2 linked regions of the Coturnix japonica genome follow. The protein of the gene in region 1 purifies or fractionates together with the protein of each later gene. This does not show direct contact. Links are inferred from orthologs where the notes say so. Each region holds a gene or a part of one and is shown in the gene's direction. Other genes may lie near its edges.

The links.
Region 2: the proteins of SPAG9 (region 1) and RCCD1 purify together in Homo sapiens (affinity purification with mass spectrometry; 3 studies listed by BioGRID and IntAct, counting the BioPlex papers as one, with this or other methods). This does not show direct contact. The link is inferred for Coturnix japonica from reciprocal best matches to the Homo sapiens genes SPAG9 and RCCD1.

What each region holds. Positions count from the first base shown.
Region 1 is NC_029533.1:8,775,171-8,778,975, forward strand, and holds part of SPAG9 (C-Jun-amino-terminal kinase-interacting protein 4), read left to right. Parts: intron 1-762; coding exon 763-777; intron 778-1,232; coding exon 1,233-1,290; intron 1,291-1,617; coding exon 1,618-1,770; intron 1,771-1,857; coding exon 1,858-1,909; intron 1,910-2,312; coding exon 2,313-2,443; intron 2,444-3,307; coding exon 3,308-3,364; intron 3,365-3,805. UniProt on the Homo sapiens protein: The JNK-interacting protein (JIP) group of scaffold proteins selectively mediates JNK signaling by aggregating specific components of the MAPK cascade to form a functional JNK signaling module.
Region 2 is NC_029525.1:18,222,810-18,227,130, reverse strand, and holds RCCD1 (RCC1 domain-containing protein 1), read left to right. Parts: upstream 1-1,460; coding exon 1,461-1,611; intron 1,612-1,728; coding exon 1,729-2,080; intron 2,081-2,695; coding exon 2,696-2,817; intron 2,818-2,893; coding exon 2,894-2,998; intron 2,999-3,064; coding exon 3,065-3,208; intron 3,209-3,278; coding exon 3,279-3,308; intron 3,309-3,446; coding exon 3,447-3,685; 3' UTR 3,686-3,799; downstream 3,800-4,321. Other genes in the region: UNC45A (protein unc-45 homolog A), read left to right, coding at 199-314, 412-529, 610-765, 869-1,129. UniProt on the Homo sapiens protein: Plays a role in transcriptional repression of satellite repeats, possibly by regulating H3K36 methylation levels in centromeric regions together with KDM8.

The sequences.
Region 1 (3,805 bases):
TCAGCCAATCTAACTTCCTTCAGAGTTCGATATCATTTGGCTTTAATCCAAAGCTTGGGGAATTTTGACTTGCATGTCCATTTTTAGAGTAACCCTTTTTTATTGTTATGAAACTTTTAAGTCTTTTAGCAAAATTGCTTAAGAGTTGTGTTTGTAGAATGTCTTAATAAGCCTCCACCATTAAGAGACTTCTTTTCTTGTGCTGATCTTGAATCAGCATCACTTGTGTCATCATTGTGTTAACAGTGGAAGGTTTAATCTGGAAATACTTCTGCTGTACCATGTGTGAACAGACCATATCTACCTTGTTTGTAAAACCCTGCAATTGGTTACTTCATGCATGCAAACAATAGGGATGAGAAGTTAATTTACAAGAGTGGAGATTAGATTGAAGCAGCTACGTGAGGAGTTAAGCTTGTGTTTTGTAGCAGTATATCCCTGTGAAACATACTGAACAGTTAAGCATTTCTGATTACTTGCTTCTAAATTATTTCACAGAAAATACACTTCTATTAAATTACTGAATTTTTTTTATAAGTCCAACCAATAGAAAAGTTTGACAAATTTTGTTTAACAACTTTCATATAAAGTCTCGCTTCTAACCACATCACATTTCACTTCCAGTTATTGGTGGTGGCTTTGTTTTAATTCACTCTTACTTCATAAGTTTAAGTATTTTACTGCTCTTCACTCATACTAGCCCTTACATGAAATGTTTCTTGTTCTTGTTTTTGCTTTACATGGAATGCATGGGCTTTAAAGACCATAATTTCTTTGGTAAGGTATCATTTGCTCTGGGGAAATTTGCAGGGCTTTCACAATGTGAGCTTTAATTGGCATGTTTTGTTTAACTTACATACTTTTGACTCTTACCTGATGTAAAAGACAGCAGAACACTGTAGAATTAACTTTTTGTGTACTGATGCTTCCCCACTGATGCTGTACTTGTTTATTGTCTGTTGAGATGTAGCATCCTCAGTATGTATTTAGTAGGTGGAGGTAGCATCAGCCTGTTAGCCAGGGCTGCCTTTAGTCTTTATTTGAAGGCAGATTGGGAAGAAGGTGGAGGGGAAGCCTAACTGCAGGTGGTAGATCCTGAAATTTCAGGTAGCTTATAATTTTTTTTGCCAGGCTTCGTACTTAAAATTCACCTATTTTTGGATAATGATAAAACTGAGGCTTTTAGGAAATGAATTTCTTCTGCTAATTCTGTGTTTATTTCCTTTGGAAAGGAATGGGTCGTGAGGTGGAAAACCTTATTTTGGAAAACACTCAGCTGTTGGAGACAAAGTAAGTGTAAAAAAATAATATATTCCCGTCCTTCTGTTACATGGAGTCTTGTATCAGTCTCTACATCTTTCTGTCTTGAGGAATGTAACTTCTCGAACAAACTGTTCTGATTTACCTCTTTATTTTCTAATGCAGTGGTACAACGTGTTTTGTGAACCTTGGAGGTTTGGCAGGAGGATTTGGCCTGCTTAAGAAAATCTATCATTTTTTTTAATATTAGCTCTAAGTGAGAAACTTAAGAGTAGTCAGGAATAAAACTCAACTGAAGCTAAATGTGCTATGAGGCCGTAGTCCGTCCTTGTAATGATGTTTAACATGTTCGTCTAGGAATGCACTGAATGTGGTGAAGAATGATTTAATAGCAAAGGTGGATGAATTGACCTGTGAGAAGGATGTCCTGCAAGGTGAATTAGAGGCTGTAAAACAAGCAAAGCAAAAGCTTGAAGAGAAGAACAAAGAACTGGAAGAGGAGCTTAAAAGGTAAGTTTAATACTGAGATTCTGAAAAAGAAAGAAAATTGCTGTGGTATCTAATTCAACTACTTACGTTGTGTTTCTTTTTATTTAGAGCTCGTGCAGAAGCAGAGGAAGCAAGACAAAAAGCTAAAGAGGATGATGATGTAGGTTTATGTGTGCATGCGTGTTTTTGTATTGATAATTCACAAGTAGATGTGAGACTACATGTATTGAGTGAATGCCGTTAAGCTTAATTGCTTAAGAGGTAAACTTTCTCCATGTTAAAACAGATCTGAAGAGGCCAAGTAAACTTAAATTCGCTATCTCTGTCATTCCTGTCCTTCCTGAATAACTGCTTTTATTCAGATTTTACTAAATTTGGAAGGATGGGAGGAGAGGAAGCTGTGGTAGAAAGCACTGGGTAAAATTGAATTAGTTTTTACAAAGCTCCAAACAGTTTAGAATCTGGAATTGTGCCCCAAACTGACTCTTGTCTGAAGGCAGAGGCTGACTCTGCAAGGCCCTGCTGTGCTCCTTTGTTCATTCTGTTTGTTTTTCTGTGTTCAGAGTGATGTCCCCACCGCTCAGCGGAAGCGCTTTACTCGTGTTGAAATGGCTCGTGTTCTGATGGAAAGAAATCAGTATAAAGAGAGGCTGATGGAACTTCAGGAAGCTGTTCGATGGACTGAAATGATAAGGTAAAAGACACTTAGCTCCTCGGATTTCACAAGCTTTATCTGTGTGTGATCTGGTCAGTAGACTTGTCTTCTTGCCTGCCCATGAATAAGTTTTTGAAGTTATGTGCATGTAATGGTTTGCCACAATGGGATCTTGGTGACACCTCTGAGAATGCATTACTTAATGTGATGTGAAACAAACACTGTTTCCATTTTCTCACAGGGTTACAAACCTTTTTTAATCACCACTGTTTTGGGGGGTGAAAAGTTACCGTATGTGTGCACGCATCTTAAAGCGATGTGCTCAGTTAGCAGCTGAGACATCAAGAAAGTAATGCAGTCAGTCTTCAGACTGAGTATAATCCATGTATAAGGTCTTGAATGGTGCAGGAGAAAACACAATTTTAAAATCGTAAGATTTGTTAAGTATTAACTGGTGAACTTGGTCTAGCCTGCATCTTCAGTACTGAGTTATCTGGAGGGGATGGCACCCCCCAGTGGGTTCCATATCCAGTGGTGTCATTTGCTGCTGCCTGCTGGTCAGGTACAGTGAATGATATTCGATTCTTTTTTTTTTCTTTGTTATTGTCCTCAATACCCATGAGTCATTCGGAGTATGAGAAAGAAATGTGATCCCCAAGCAGCTATGGTTTGCTTTTCTGTAGCTATAGTTATTGTCTCTTACAGCAATCTCATTCCTCTGCGTATGCTGGGTTTATGAGTCCAGGATAAATCACCACCATTTATTTACAACTGTATCAAAAAGCCAAATCTTAAAATAAAAAGCACTGGTTAAAATACTAAGGCAGAAGAATTTTTTTTTTCTTTCCCCTTTTAAATTTTCATTAACATTTACTCAGTAAACTTAAAATTTGTTTCTTGTAGAGCATCAAGAGAAAATCCAGCCATGCAAGAAAAGAAGAGATCCAGCATATGGCAGTTGTAAGTATTAAAATACAGCTCATGAACAATAAATAAAAGACCCTAACCAATTAGCTGGCACATTTTTGTATGTTAGCTAATTGTCTTTGAGCAAATGGAGCTGTCTTAATTGTTTTCCTCTTGTTACCTAGCATGCCCACTCGGTAAGACTTTTCTTGAAGACAAATATATCGTAAGCTGCATCATCTAATGAATGGCTGTGCACTTTGTGAAGTTAAATGCCAAAGTGCTGTAACTTTTTTTGTAGCTGAATATGCACCAGAACTTGTTTTGTTGTTTTTTTTACAATGAAAAATAGAAACTTGAATAGCTTGTGTGGATTGCATTTATTTCAGCTTTCTTTTTCTCTGTGAAGTATGGTTTACTCTCAGATTTTCCTTTCTAACTTGAAGCTGTTTAGATCTGAAATTGTGTTATTCACAACAAGATACCTGGCAAATA
Region 2 (4,321 bases), on another chromosome or scaffold:
ACGGGCTGTGCTGGAGTGTCGCTGCTGCTGCAGACAGGCATCTGCCTAGGGAGGGCATTGGGCTTAGGAGGCACAGTGGTCCCCCACAGTGGCCTAACTGCCTCGGCCTGGTCATGGGAGCTCCTCTGCCCTTCTACTGTGCTCAGCCCCTGCTCTGTAAGGGCTGGAGTCTGAGCCCTGTCCTGCTGTCTTCCACAGATCTACGAGGTGGTCCGGCCCCTGGTCAGCCTGCTGCACCTGCAGCGCTCGGGCCTGGAGAACTTTGAGGGGCTGATGGCACTGACCAACCTGGCTGGCATCAGCGAGCGGCTGCGGTAGGGGCGGGGGGGGAGAGGCTGGGATGTCCTGGGCACGGGGAGGGGGCACCGGGACAGCGCGGGGCGGGAGGTGCTCAGTGCTGCCCCGCTGCAGGCAGAAGATCCTGAAGGAGAGAGCTGTGCCCATGATCGAGGGGTACATGTTTGAGGAGCACGAGCTGATCCGCCTGGCTGCCACCGAGTGCATGTGTAACATGGCCATGAGCAAGGAGGTGAGCGCCGGCTCCGGCAGGGGCTGCAGCCCACCCTGTGCCGCACTGCGCTGCACTCAGCGCCCCCACCTCGCCCGCAGGTGCAGGAGCTGTTCCTGGATGAGGGCAGCGACCGCTTGAAGCTGATGGTTCTGTACAGCGGGGAGGAGGACGAGAAGCTGCGGCGGGCGGCATCGGGGACGCTGGCCATGCTGACAGCGCTGCACCCCCCCATCTGCAAGAGGATCCCGCAGGTGGTGAGTGCGGGGCGGCCTGTGCCCCGAGCTGCAGGCGGGGGGGGCTGTGCCGTACAGCGCGGGTGGGTTCGGGCCCTCAAAGCACATGGTGCTGTGCCCGCAGACCGTGCACTGGCTGGAGATCCTGCAGGCGCTGCTGCTGAGCCCCAGCGCCGAGCTGCAGCACCGCGGGGCCGTGGTGGTGATGAACATGATGGCGGCGGCGCGAGAGGTGGCCGAGCTGCTGATCGCCAGCGAGATGCTGGAGATCCTGACCGTGCTGGCCAAGGACCGGGACAAACCGCGCGTGGCGCAGGCGGCGCAGGAGAGTCTGGAGCGGGCGGTGCAGTACGGGCTGATCCAGCCCCATCCCGGCCAGCAGTGATGGGATGGGATGCGATGCAATGCGATGCAATGCGATGCGATGCGATGCGATGTGATGCAATGCGATGCGATGCGATGCAATGCGATGCGATGCTGCCCCGCTCTGCTCACCGCGCTGCTCGGGGGCCGCCCGGGGCCGCACGCCGCTTGTGGGGCTGACACACCGCGATGCTGGGGCCGACACACCGCAGAGCTGGGGCCGCATTCCCTCCCGTGCCTTACCGGGGCTCCGGCCCCGCAGGATGAACTGCAGCTGCTCCTTAACGGCGGCTCCGCCTCCCGTCCCTCCGGCCCCGCCCGCTCCCTTCCGCCCCCATCTCCCCCCCCCCTTCATGGCGGATCCGCGCCGCTCCTGGTTCTTGTTCGGCCTCAACGCCGAGGAGGCGGCGGGGGCCCCGGGGCCGGGGCGGCAGCGCCTGGGGCTGAAGGGCGCCGTGATCCGCCGCGTGTGTCCCGCGTGGAGCTGCGCGGTGCTGGACACGGGTGAGCTCCCCCCCCCCGGCCCCGAGGTTCCTCCGTTCTGCCGCCCCGCGGCGCTCGGATCCCGGCGGGGTTGGGACCGTCCCCCCCCCGGCTCCGCTGACGCCGCCGCTCCCGCAGGCTCCGGGCTGCAGCTGCTCAGCGCGGGGCGGCGGCGGCCGCTGCCCGAGGACTGCACGGCGGCGCTGCCGTCGGAGACGCACGTGGTGCTGCTGCGGGGCGCGGCGGTGCAGGCGTGGCCCCTCGCGGCGGCGCTGCGGGACGAGCTGCGGGGGGAGCCCGCGTGGAGCCGGGAGCTGCCGCCGGGAGCGCGCCCCGCGCTGCCGCTGCTGCCGGGCGGGTTCGTGGCCCCGCGGCCGCCGTTCTACACCGCGCTGCCACGGGAGACGCCGCTCCGCGCGTTGGCGCTGGGACACGAGCACGCGGTGGGGCTGGGACAGGCCGGGGAGGTGTACGGCTGGGGAGCCGGCAGGTGAGCGGGGGGGCGCGGGGTGGCCGTGGGTTATTGAGCGCTATCAAACAGCGATCACCTGCTGAGGGAGCCGGCAGAGCGCCCAGCCGAGCTGGGAGCGAACCGAGCTCCTGTTCTCGTGCTGCTGCTACACATAAACACTGACTGCAATGAGCGACTCCGGTCTCGGTTCTTCACTGCGCCCTGTGGACGCTCAGTGCCCCGTTGTGCTCGGGGCGCTGCTCGTGGCTGAGCTGACAGTGACGGTCCCGTGTCGGTGTGTGTCCCTGAGCAGAACCCAGCGGCACTATGGGAAGCTTTGTCTGTTTCTCTCTTTGCCGTTTACATGAGACGAAGCTGATGGAGAAGCACGGTGCAGACAGGGCCGGCTCCTTCTGCAGCACTCAGGGTCGGTCCAGCTGCGTTGGCTTTCAGTGCAGTTGGTGCCTGTTGTCATAGCAGTCAGCTCAGCGGGGCTTGTATTTATGGATATTAATCGTTGGTCTTCCCGTTTCACTGGGCTGCAGATTCCTGCTGTACTGTGCAGCCCCGTAGGATGAGCTGCACACACAGGAGCAGCCGGCACAGAGCGGGGGAGGCGTCTGTCTGTGTCCTTCTGTCTGTGTCTCCCCACAGGCACGGGCAGCTCGGCCACGGCAGCCTGGAATCCGAGCAGCAGCCTCGGCTGGTGGAGGCGCTGTGCGGGCTGCCCGTGAGGGAGGTGGCAGCCGGCGGGTGGCACTCGGCCTGTATCAGCGGTGAGGGGCTCGGTGCTGGACGGGGGCGCGGGGCGGCAGCTCCTGCTGCGACCTGACCGGGACCCGACCTCCACAGATGGGGGAGACCTTTACGTGTGGGGCTGGAACGAGTCGGGACAACTGGGGCTGCCCTCCCGGGCGGTGGCGGAGCAGCAGGGAGAGGATGAGGACGTGGGTGCAGGTGAGGACGCCGTGGGGCTGCAGCAGCGCCGGGCTCAGCTGTGGGGCTGAGCAGAGCTGTGTGCAGGGCTCCAAGATCCGCCGCTGCCCGGGGAGCCGCCGGGCGCTGCCTTCATCTCCATCCAGGCCTTCCCAGCCCTGCTGGACCTCCCGATGGAGCCGGCAGTGGCTGCGGTGAGCTGCGGTTCACGGCACACGGCTGCGGTCACAAGTGAGTGCCCGGGGATGGGGGGGTCCTGCATCCCCCGGCCTGGGGGCTGACGGCACTGTCCTGGTTGCAGGAGGCGGAGAGCTGTACACCTGGGGCTGGGGTAAGCGCTGCCTCTGCTCTGTGGTTCTGCTCCTGTTTTGCTTATACAGGGGCTGGTTTGGGGCGCTGGCACCTTTTGCTGCTGGCCCCAGGGGTGAATCTTCCCACCAGGCCCCACATTGCGCTGCTCTGCCCACAGGGAAATACGGGCAGCTCGGGCACAGGGACCGCGCCAGCTGCGACCAGCCACGGCGTGTGGAGCAGCTCCGGGCTCAGGGGCTGCAGGCGCTGGAGGTGGTTTGTGGGCCCTGGAGCACTTATGTCTGCGTCCTGCAGCAGGGAGGGGCGCAGGGCTCCCATCCCCACAGCACAGCTCCAGCCCTGAAAGCTGGGACTGAGCGTGGGAGCTGCCCAGGAGAGCTCAGCCCCCATCCCTGACCTCAGTGCTGGAGCGGCGCTGCTGCACATCACAGCTCAGACTGGAGCGGCGCCACGGCTGAAGATGACGCAGAACGAATGTATTTATTAAATCTTATTTGTTTTGTAACAGCAGCAGTTGTGCTTCACGGTGCTTCCCAAGGACGGTTCCTGCCTGTTCCAGGCCCTGGGGGGGGCAAGAGGGGAGGAGGGGGAAGTGCCCAGCCCTCGCTCTGCCCCCTCCAGGCTCCGAGAACAGAGATTGCAGTCATCCCAACGAACACACAAACAGCAGCGGCTATATATACAGATATGCATTATTCTCATAAACAGTATATACAGTTACAGGGTATGGAGACAGAACTTGGGGATAAATAACAGCAGGTGGGGAGCTGTAGTGATAACAAGGTGCAAATTAGTCATGATTGAGGGCCGAGCTAAGAAAGGTGCAAACTACCAACCAGTGTGTTTTACTGCTGAGTGCAGCTGGAGCACAGCAGGGCAAGGGGCAGCACTGGAGGCTGCTGGACTTTGTCCGAGCTCAAGGAGCTGCTGGGGCTGTTCCCCCAGCCCTCACCCCTGCCTGCTGCAGGGAGGGCAGAAGATGCAGGGAAGCAGCACACTGAGCTCCGGGAGCACAGGGCACCTGCAGGACAC